Linked DNA regions of Neurospora crassa OR74A. The protein of the gene in region 2 purifies or fractionates together with the protein of the main gene of each other region. This does not show direct contact. Links are inferred from orthologs where the notes say so. Each region holds a gene or a part of one and is shown on either strand. Other genes may lie near its edges. The genes, in order: NCU03311 and NCU06314.

What was found.
Region 1: the proteins of NCU06314 (region 2) and NCU03311 purify together in Saccharomyces cerevisiae (affinity purification with mass spectrometry; 8 studies listed by BioGRID, with this or other methods). This does not show direct contact. The link is inferred for Neurospora crassa OR74A from reciprocal best matches to the Saccharomyces cerevisiae genes CLP1 and RNA15.

The regions. Positions count from the first base shown.
Region 1 is NC_026501.1:5,271,738-5,276,284, reverse strand, and holds NCU03311 (polyadenylation factor subunit CstF64), read right to left. Parts: upstream 3,085-4,547; 5' UTR 2,551-3,084; coding exon 2,499-2,550; intron 2,421-2,498; coding exon 2,295-2,420; intron 2,225-2,294; coding exon 2,103-2,224; intron 2,034-2,102; coding exon 1,365-2,033; 3' UTR 804-1,364; downstream 1-803. Other genes in the region: NCU03312 (CorA family metal ion transporter), read left to right, coding at 1-368, 464-740; NCU03310 (prohibitin-2), read left to right, coding at 3,440-3,689, 3,758-4,113, 4,173-4,499. UniProt on the Saccharomyces cerevisiae protein: RNA-binding component of the cleavage factor IA (CFIA) complex, which is involved in the endonucleolytic cleavage during polyadenylation-dependent pre-mRNA 3'-end formation and cooperates with the cleavage factor NAB4/CFIB and the cleavage and polyadenylation factor (CPF) complex.
Region 2 is NC_026504.1:2,942,960-2,947,527, reverse strand, and holds NCU06314 (hypothetical protein), read right to left. Parts: upstream 2,840-4,568; 5' UTR 2,180-2,839; coding exon 1,570-2,179; intron 1,499-1,569; coding exon 1,232-1,498; intron 1,135-1,231; coding exon 872-1,134; 3' UTR 392-871; downstream 1-391. Other genes in the region: NCU06315 (inositol hexaphosphate kinase 3), read right to left, coding at 3,613-4,568. UniProt on the Saccharomyces cerevisiae protein: Component of the cleavage factor IA (CF IA) complex, which is involved in the endonucleolytic cleavage during polyadenylation-dependent pre-mRNA 3'-end formation. Associates with HRB1/CF IB to form the cleavage factor I (CF I) complex.

The DNA.
Region 1 (4,547 bases), on a different chromosome or scaffold from region 2:
ACCGATGTTTTTGGTCCGCTGATTCACAACATCGAGGATGAAGTCGACGATATCGACGAAGCCATTTTGCTACTGCACTCAGAAGACGATCCGAATTTCCCAACGGATAATCTCAAAGAAAAGTCTGAGGCCGGCGACGCAACATCGGCCGAATCTGGACGCGACATGCTCAGACGCGTGGGCGACTGCCGCAAAAAGGTGATGTCGCTTTACAGACTGCTCGGTAACAAGGCCGACGTCATCAAGAGCTTCGCAAAGCGTTGCAACGAGCATTGGGAGGTGGCGCCTCGGTCGGAGATCGGTCTGTACTTGGGTGACATTCAGGATCATATTGTGACCATGACTTCGAACTTGAGTCACTATGAGAAGTAAGTTGTCTCTCTAGCAATCCAATTGCTTCTCCACTAGTTACTACTTTCTAGCAAATTTCAAACCCAGAATCCTAACATATCATTCAACTTAGAATCCTAGCACGATCTCATGCCAACTACCTAGCGCAAATCAACATACGCATGAACGAGCGACAGGAGCAGACGGCTGACGTGCTCGGGAGACTCACCGTCTTGGGTACCATTGTACTCCCCATGAACATCGTTACCGGTCTTTGGGGCATGAACGTCTGGGTCCCTGGGCAGGGGAACGAGGGCGACCTCAAGTGGTTCACGGCCATCACAGCGGGACTGCTACTTTTTGGGTTTGGCTGTTATCTGATTGCGAAGCGTGTGTATAAGATTGTGTAAAGATACAGACAGGCACGCAAGCGAGTGAGTGGAGGCAAGTGAGGAGGGCTTATGATGTACCATACGGGTTCAACGACTATGTTTTGGACGAAAAGGTCAAGATCCTCTCATGTACTGAGAGAGCACATGTCTACATGACAGCGTTTTGGTTAATAAGGATGGGCAAAAGAAACAGAACGAAATACAGGCGTTGTGGGGTGGTGATGGCGTTTTGTGGAGTGAGATTGAATATCTGTCATTTTCGCGATTGGATAGACAGATGCTTCTAAAAGAATAAAGCGGAAAGCAAAGTCATGTAGTCCACAACTCTGTCTTCATCCCTTTGATGATGTGTGTCGTCTACCTGATCAAAGCTATGTCAGTATACATCGTTACGAAACTTTGACTTTGTTCAGCGGTTTAAGCTTCCAGACTGTGGCTGTTAAATTCACCGATATTTACCCTTTTCTATTGAACCTTTGCAATGCTCCCATTTAGAGTGTGAAACCGACCGCCACCACCATAACGCCTGACCAGCCTAGAAAAGAATGCATAACGACAGAAAAACAGGAACATGAGGCCCCAATACATATTTTTTGCCCATGTTCACGGAAAGTTGACTGGTTGAATCATCCGTCTGTCATATTAGCGTAGGCCCTGAGCAGAAAACTGAGCGCGAAGCGCCAAAATCTGCTGCCTCTCCGCTTCCTGCAGCTTGTCAATCGTCTCCTGCGGCAACTCCATAACGGCACGCATCAGCGCCTCTGCATCCTGCCCTGGGGCAGCAGCAGCAGCAGTCGGAGCTGGAATAGGAGCCGCGGCGACAGGTGGTGCTGCGTAGCCTCCAACAGGACCAGGGGCAACAGGGGGGGTGGCTATGGCGCCGGGATAAGCTCCGTACGGAGCACCGCCCATAGGGTTGGGGACAACGGGAGTACCCATAGGAGGAGCAGCAGCAGCGGCCGGGTTGTCGAGAACTGAGTTGATAGCGTCCGGCGAGACCAGGCCCATGATAAGGAGCGCTTGAAATATCGCGTAGCTCAGCTGGGGCGCTTGGTTGAGAAGTTCCGTGGCCCTAGCAGGATCGTTCGTCGCCAGCGTCTTCATCTGCTGGAGGATGTCGAGAAGTTGAGCCGGGGGAAGGGTGTTGAGGGTGCGGGAGATCGCGTCGGTGCAGGTAACATCGGGGGGAAGGTCTTTGCCCTGGGGCAAGGGTCCGAGAGCAGGAGGGGCGGCGCTGACGGGGGGAGCGGTGTTGTAGCCTCCCCCATTGGGAGGTTGAGCGTTGTAGCTACCGGAGGCGTTCTGATTCGACTAGGTAGGCCGTCATGGTCAGTGGATTGGGTGTGAAAGTGAGGTGAGTTGAGTTGGTTTGTGCCATACCCCGCCATCACGATCTCTGCCACCGTCTTCGTCGCTGACAGTCTCGTTGCTGAAATCGACACGCAGCTTGCGACCCATAATCTCGTGGTCGTTCAGGTTTCGTACAGCCGATGCAGCGGAATCTGGAGATCGGCGAAAGCTGATTAGCGTGTGCGCGGGAGAGGGATACTTGATTCAGAGATGGATACGCACCGTAGTCGGGAAATTCTGCGAACCCAAAACCCTTTGGCCTTCCAGTTTCACGGTCATAGACAAGGCGGAAGTTGAGGACCCGTCCAGCGCCGCTAAAGATTTCGGTTATCTGCTCTTCGGTAAGGCCTGCATTGTCCCTGTCAGTGGGTGGGCTTTTATAGATGGTCGTCGTCTGACCTGGACAGAAGCGGGTTGTCTGCGTACCATAAGGGATGTTTCCCACGAAGACCACACGTGAAGGTTGGCGTGTCGACATGGCGATGCGCGCGTTCACTGTCGAGCAAATATGTTGTACGAAGCGCAAAGTGTCTAGCAGTAGCGCTGCTGAGGGTGGAGAGGCACAATCCTGCGTGAGTTTGACTGCGAGCTGTGTGGGCTGATCGAATGGGAATCACCAAGCGAACCAAATGTTGGACAGGTGGGATGGGCAACCAGGAATTGGTATGAATCGATGGGAACAATAGGGACCGCGCAGGAACAGCGAACTTTGGCAAATGGATGAGATGGAAGTTAACACAGTCGTAGTTAGACTACCTGGTGGCAATTGGGTCCTCTTTAGCCTTTTCTCTTCAATTTCAAAGCCCAAGCCTGCTGCCAGATACCGTCGATTTGTAAGATGGGGGTTTGGTCGAGGTGGGAATACTCTGACAACGGGGAGAAGTTCTGGGAATGGAGTCAACCTTTTGGTGGCTGCAAATGGAAGTTTGTAGTTCTGGATTTGCACACGTCAAAAATTGGACTCTCTGTCGCTGTGTCGCTTCGACGATGGAATGCAGGGGCTATGTACGTCGCGGGGGTGGATACCTCTACTTGTCTCCGAGCTACGATCCATCAAGGTCCTGCTCCCGTCGCGACAAGCTATAGCGACCCACGTGAGCGTATGGTCTGTGCTTGACCAAAGTGAGACAGGCGGTACCTAGAAGCCCAGTTGCGCCAGTAGGGTGGTAGGCAGATGGCAAGTGGACTTTAGTGATGCGCCTCGCTTGTGGTTCTGCCTGTGGGTGGTCTTAGCTCCGACGCTGGAAAAGCTCGGGCAAGCTATCGTGACGACTTCAATCCCCATTTCCCCACCACATCCGTCAACCAACCCAGGGCTCCTACTCCAAATCATCTTTGGGCCGCCCATTACTTCACAGCAGCCCAGCATGTCGAACAACCCATATCAGGATCTCCTGAACAAGATTCAGCAGACTGCCCGGTCTCGCGGCGGCGGCGGTTTCCCAGGTGGCAGGCCCCCCATCCCTCCCCGCGGTTTGGGCCCTGCCTTGACCGGTTTCGCCCTTCTTGGTGGTGGTGCTTGGGTCCTTTCAAACTCCCTGTTCAACGTTGATGGTGGTCACAGAGCGATCAAGTACAGGAGAGTTAATGGTGTTAGCAAGGAGATCTATGGCGAAGGTTCGTCTGCTTTCGCCGCTTGGTCTCTATCTCGCTAGCCTTAATCGTTTTTCTGACAAGTTGAATAGGAACCCATCTCATGATCCCCTGGTTCGAGACCCCTATTACCTACGATGTCCGCGCGAAGCCCAGAAACGTGTCCTCCTTGACCGGTACCAAGGATTTGCAAATGGTCAACATCACCTGCCGTGTCCTTTCAAGACCCGAAGTCACGGCCTTGCCTCAGATTTACCGTACCCTCGGTACCGATTACGACGAGCGGGTCCTTCCTTCAATCGTCAACGAGGTTCTCAAGAGCGTTGTCGCGCAATTCAACGCCAGTCAATTGATCACCCAAAGAGAGATGGTTGCCAAGCTTGTGCGTGAGAACCTGGCAAAGCGTGCGGCCCGGTTCAACATCCTCCTGGACGATGTGTCGCTTACAGTACGATTCCTCCACCCGTTCTTTTGCGTCGTAGATATCTCTGGCTAACCATACCCCAGCACCTCGCATTCTCCCCCGAATTCACTGCGGCAGTAGAGGCCAAGCAGGTCGCACAGCAAGAAGCGCAGCGCGCAGCTTTTATTGTTGACAAGGCGCGTCAAGAGAAGCAGGCTATGGTGGTCAAGGCTCAGGGTGAGGCCCGTTCTGCGGAGCTCATCGGTGAGGCCATCAAGAAGAGCAAGTCGTATGTGGAATTGAAGAAGCTGGAGAATGCGCGTGCAATTGCGAACATCATCCAGGAGGCCGGCGGCAAGAACAGGCTGCTCCTTGATTCTGAGGGCTTGGGCCTCAACGTTTTCGAAGATCGGAGGTCCAAAGACAACTAAGCCGAGGCCTTTGGAAGTTAGAGAGGAGGAGCATGAGATGACGGATAA
Region 2 (4,568 bases):
TACAGGAAAATTTACTTGCCATGCACATTTAACGGTGCCCTGGTGCCCTTGAATCCCCTTATATAGGTAACTCGTCACGCTCACTATGTGATTCTAGCGATAAGGTGAAGGTAAATGACCTACTGCATATAATGTCATTCGTCCGAATGGTCACCATCAGTATCATAGCCTCATGGGCCAGGATAGAAAACAAGAATAGGGGGAACCAACCATAAACAAATCGGTCACGTTCTTAGACGAGTACCAAACGGGAAGACTCTATACTATGTTACAACCAGCGTAAACACATTGCACATAACTTGTTTCTATTCCTAACAACGTTTAACTTGAGACATATGTATCTCGGCGTCTTTAATTTGATCTACTTATTACTGTGGGAAAACTTGGATGTGAGCTTTGCTGATATAGTACGATTACTTTCTGAAGCTGGTTAGGAACTCTCCATTTCGAGCAGAACGTTCAAAACTCTCAAGAGACCAAAAATCATGCTCTCTACCACGAAACCCATATCAATGAGTGACTGGTAGATATGAGTGTTGCAAAAAGCATACAACTGACTGATGCCTTGCGTTTTCAAGTACCAATAACAATGTTCAACAAGAATCAAACAAGCCACCAAAGGAGAATAACAAGGTACCAAATCTGTTCCCGCTCACTCTCATGCTAGTCAAAAGACACCCAAAAGCAAGAATAACAACAAACACCTTTACATGCCATTTTCACCATTTTCCATCTCGAAGCCCAACCCAACGCCAGCCGTATCCGTCAATTTTTGCCACACCTTCAAGCAAACCCGGAGATCATTTGTCTCTTGCAGGCTCAATTGGTGACCACCATCTCTCATCCGTACCCGTATCACGTTTCGGCGAGCCTACGCCAGGAGGTTGAGATACGGTTCCGGCCAGCGTCCCCATATCAGCGGGTGGTTGCCCAGCCGACCGCTGACCGGCGACAGGAACTTGACCCGCCTGCGCTCCTGGTCCACGTCGGCGATGACGATGAAGCCCAGGACCGAGGAAAAGCGGATGGCTTGCGGCGAGTCGGTCACGGAAGCGATCATGACTGCTAGCGTCCAGTGGGCCATTTCGGGGGTGATTTCGACTCGCTCGAGGACTGGGGCGCCTTCATAGGGTTCTGTTTTGGTAAAGACAGGCGTTAGCTTAGGTGCCAGGTAGGGTGAGGTAGTTTCAGTGCAGCGAGAGAAAGAGAGTGAGAGAGAGAGAAAACTCACCGTCAGGCGCCTTGAAAACGACTAGTTCGTCGAAACTGGCTGACTGTGTAAAGGGGCTCAAGCGCGCCTTAATGCCACCAAAGAAGTATTCCTTAATCGCCGTCTCTGTAGACTTCTGCCTCCACGCCTTGTCAATCTGTACAGCACCATCCGACTTGTCTAACCCGAGGACAGTAATCGGCTCTTCAAAGCTCGTCTTCTCGCTTGCGAACCGCTGCCCAAGTTCTGTCTTTAGCTGTTCAGAGCCTAGCACCACAACGAAGTTTGCTATAGTTGCATTGTTAGCTTTCGTCACTCTTGATGAGGTCTTTCTGGAGGCCAATCAGACATAAACTCACCATCAAACTGCCTAACCGCCCACCCCAACAGCTCCTGCCCCTCTTTGTCCCCCGCCTCCACCGGCGCCGTATCAACCAACAACCCCGCCACCCTCACATCCCGATTCCTCTCAAACTTGCGCCTGGCCAACACCGCCAGCCGCTCCGTCATCTGCCTCCACATGTCCACGTCGTCCTCCACCTTCTCGTGTCCAAAGTAAAATGTGAGCGGGTTCTTGACTGGCACCGCGCTGGGACCGCTGATCGGCGTGTTCGTCACGCCAAACCCACCCGCCGGCTCCTCCACGTCCATCAACGTGCCGAACACGGCCGCACCCAGCGTTCCGGGTAGACACAGCAGCCCGTCGGTCGGGTTCAGATTGGCTACCAGCGGCTGAGAGCCCATGCGCGTGGCGAGGGCAGCGAGGAGCTTCGCCAGCGAGGTCTTGCCGACGCCGGGTGGACCACAGATCAGCACTCTTGGCCCGGGTTTTGACCTCGCTACTCCTGCTCCTGCTCCTCTCCCTTGTTGCTGCTGCTGGTGGTGTGTAGGATGTTGTTGTTGTGCCTGAGCGGCCGCGGCACGCTCGTGGTCTTGGAGGCCAAAGTGGAGGTTGATATAGCTAAGCATGGGCGACTGTTCCGGCGGGTGTTCAACCACGCGGTCCTCGAGGGGGTAGCCGCCCGTGTTGTTGATCTCCAGAGTGCATCCTTGATCGGTGAAGAGCTTTGATTTGGTGCCGGGGAGAAATGTGTAGACGCAGTTGGGCGCGAGCTCAGTGCCATCGCGCTCAGCAGTGCCGGCGACGAGGCGGACGGTGACTCCGGCGGCGGAGGAGTTCGATGAGAAGGTGCTGTGTTGGTGGGGGATGGAGAAGCGCCATTCGCCGAACGGTCGGAGGTTAATGGTCCGCTGGGTGGTTGTGGGAGCCTGGATTACCGAAAACGGGCAAATGGCAGGCGATGGTTAGCTGGTTGTGATCTCGGGTCACGAGTGTGCCTATGGATAATAATGGCTTGTGAGGAGATGGTGATGCCGTTGGATACACGTGCGCGCCTGGGGTTATACGAAGCATGTCCGCGCGAGAGCTTGGGTTCGTTTACCTGCGGGGCTATCTGACCGAGGCCTGGAATTGACATTGCGGGCTGTGTTCAGCGCGTGAACGAGGTTGTTCACAGGCTGTTGGATATGTACTTGTATTTCGTTCTCCTTCTTGTAAGGTTCTGTTTGCGTTTGCGCCGATGGGGGTGAAAGTTGTAAAGTCCAGCCGTTGGCATGCAGGGATTCCAGGTTATTGTGGCATGCAATGGAACCTAAGTGGAAGACGGGGAGCTGATGCTCACTGCAGCAAGGCCAGGGCTGTTGAAGCTGAGGTGAGTTTAGCGGCTGCGGGCAGTGGGGCTCAAACGCTGTGTACCCTGAAGGTACTAAGCGTGTCAAGGGCATTCATTGAGGTTGTCTTACTCCAGACTGCCAGGTGTAATTGTGCTTTCCGCTTCCACTTTTCGTCCCAGTTCGAGTGTTTGAAAATCGAGTTAAAAGCAGCCCGTTTTAGTACCTATTGCCTCTAACCAGCTGCTGGTGAGTTTGTCAAATTTCAGTAGCATGTCTGCCTTCATAGCAGATTTTCAAGAAAAAACATTGAAACAGTAAAATATGGCATATGGTTCCAGCGCAAGTTGTGAATTGCTGTCACAGACAACAACAACATCAACAACAACAACCACATCCAGATACTACAATTACGTTCAAGTTGTGGCAAGATCGGATAACAGCGTACAACAAAAATAAGGGGTATATTGCGTGAAAAGAATTGCCGTCCCCCTAATAGCCCGTGTGGCTGGTTCCCCTTCTTTCAATGATGTTCGTAACGGACGTCAAAAACCTCTCCTCTACCTATGCATATATATTCGTATATGCTCTCTTCCCTTTTCGTCTCTTTTCCTTCCTCTAACCTGCCCGTGACATGCTCTAACCGTAGTCTCGCAAGGTAGCCCCAATTGCAATCCCAAACGCCTTGAAATGCCGCCTTAACTCCACGATTGCTTTCGGAAACCCGCCCTTCAATCATCTGCCAGCTGTTCAAAGATCTTGATCAAACTCCGAACGCCAAACAGAGCATTCTCGTCTGGGCCTTGCCCGGGTGTCCACTCGGCATGTGCAAAGTCAATGAGTTTGAGGGAGTAGATGCGAGGAATATCGCCGTTCGAGGAACCCGACATGCTGTCTGCGTCGGAATCGGCAGTGAGTTGGATGTCTTGGGAACCAGGTGCCTGAGCCAGGTTCGCCAGTATCATGTTTTGGCCGATGGCTGCGTTGATTGGAAACACCATCTGCCCCTCGTCATCCATCTCGATGCCACTATCAACGCGAGATGCAGATAGACCTGGCGTGTACGGTCCATCATCCTTCTTGTATTGCTCTCCCGACATGTCAGCTCGGGTCCGGTCAAGGGCAGCTCTCAACGCGTTGCCGTCTCCTTCGAATGTGAACAGCAAGCTCGCCGAGTACATTCTGCTCTCCTCCGAAGCCAACACCTCCTCGATGCGCTTTAGGTCATTGAGGAAGAGACCCGCAATGATCTTGCCAAGCTCCTCATCTATCCCGGCCTGAGAATTGAAAATGAACTTGCGCATCGCCTCCACAACATTGTCGGCATTGACCTCTAACCGGCCGTAATGCTTGTCGTAGACCTTATAACCCTGCTCGTCCAGCTCAGAGGGGTTGGTGGATCCCTTGTAAACGCGCATGCCGGCGATGCGAAACCCGTGCGAGCCATTGGTGGTTTCCTTGGTGATTATATCAAACCGCTCTTGCTTCGCCTTGGGCGCATCATCTGCCCACAGCCGCTTGCCGAGTTTAGCGTCCATAATGTTAGGACGCGTGTAACCGTATGCTGAATTCTCCAGCACCACCGACTTATTGGTCTCGATCTTTCTGGACTTGGCCTTTTCCGTCCACTGTCTGTCAGTGCTCGGCGCGGGGGACTGGGCGGCGGCCTCAGCAGCCTGTTCCTTGC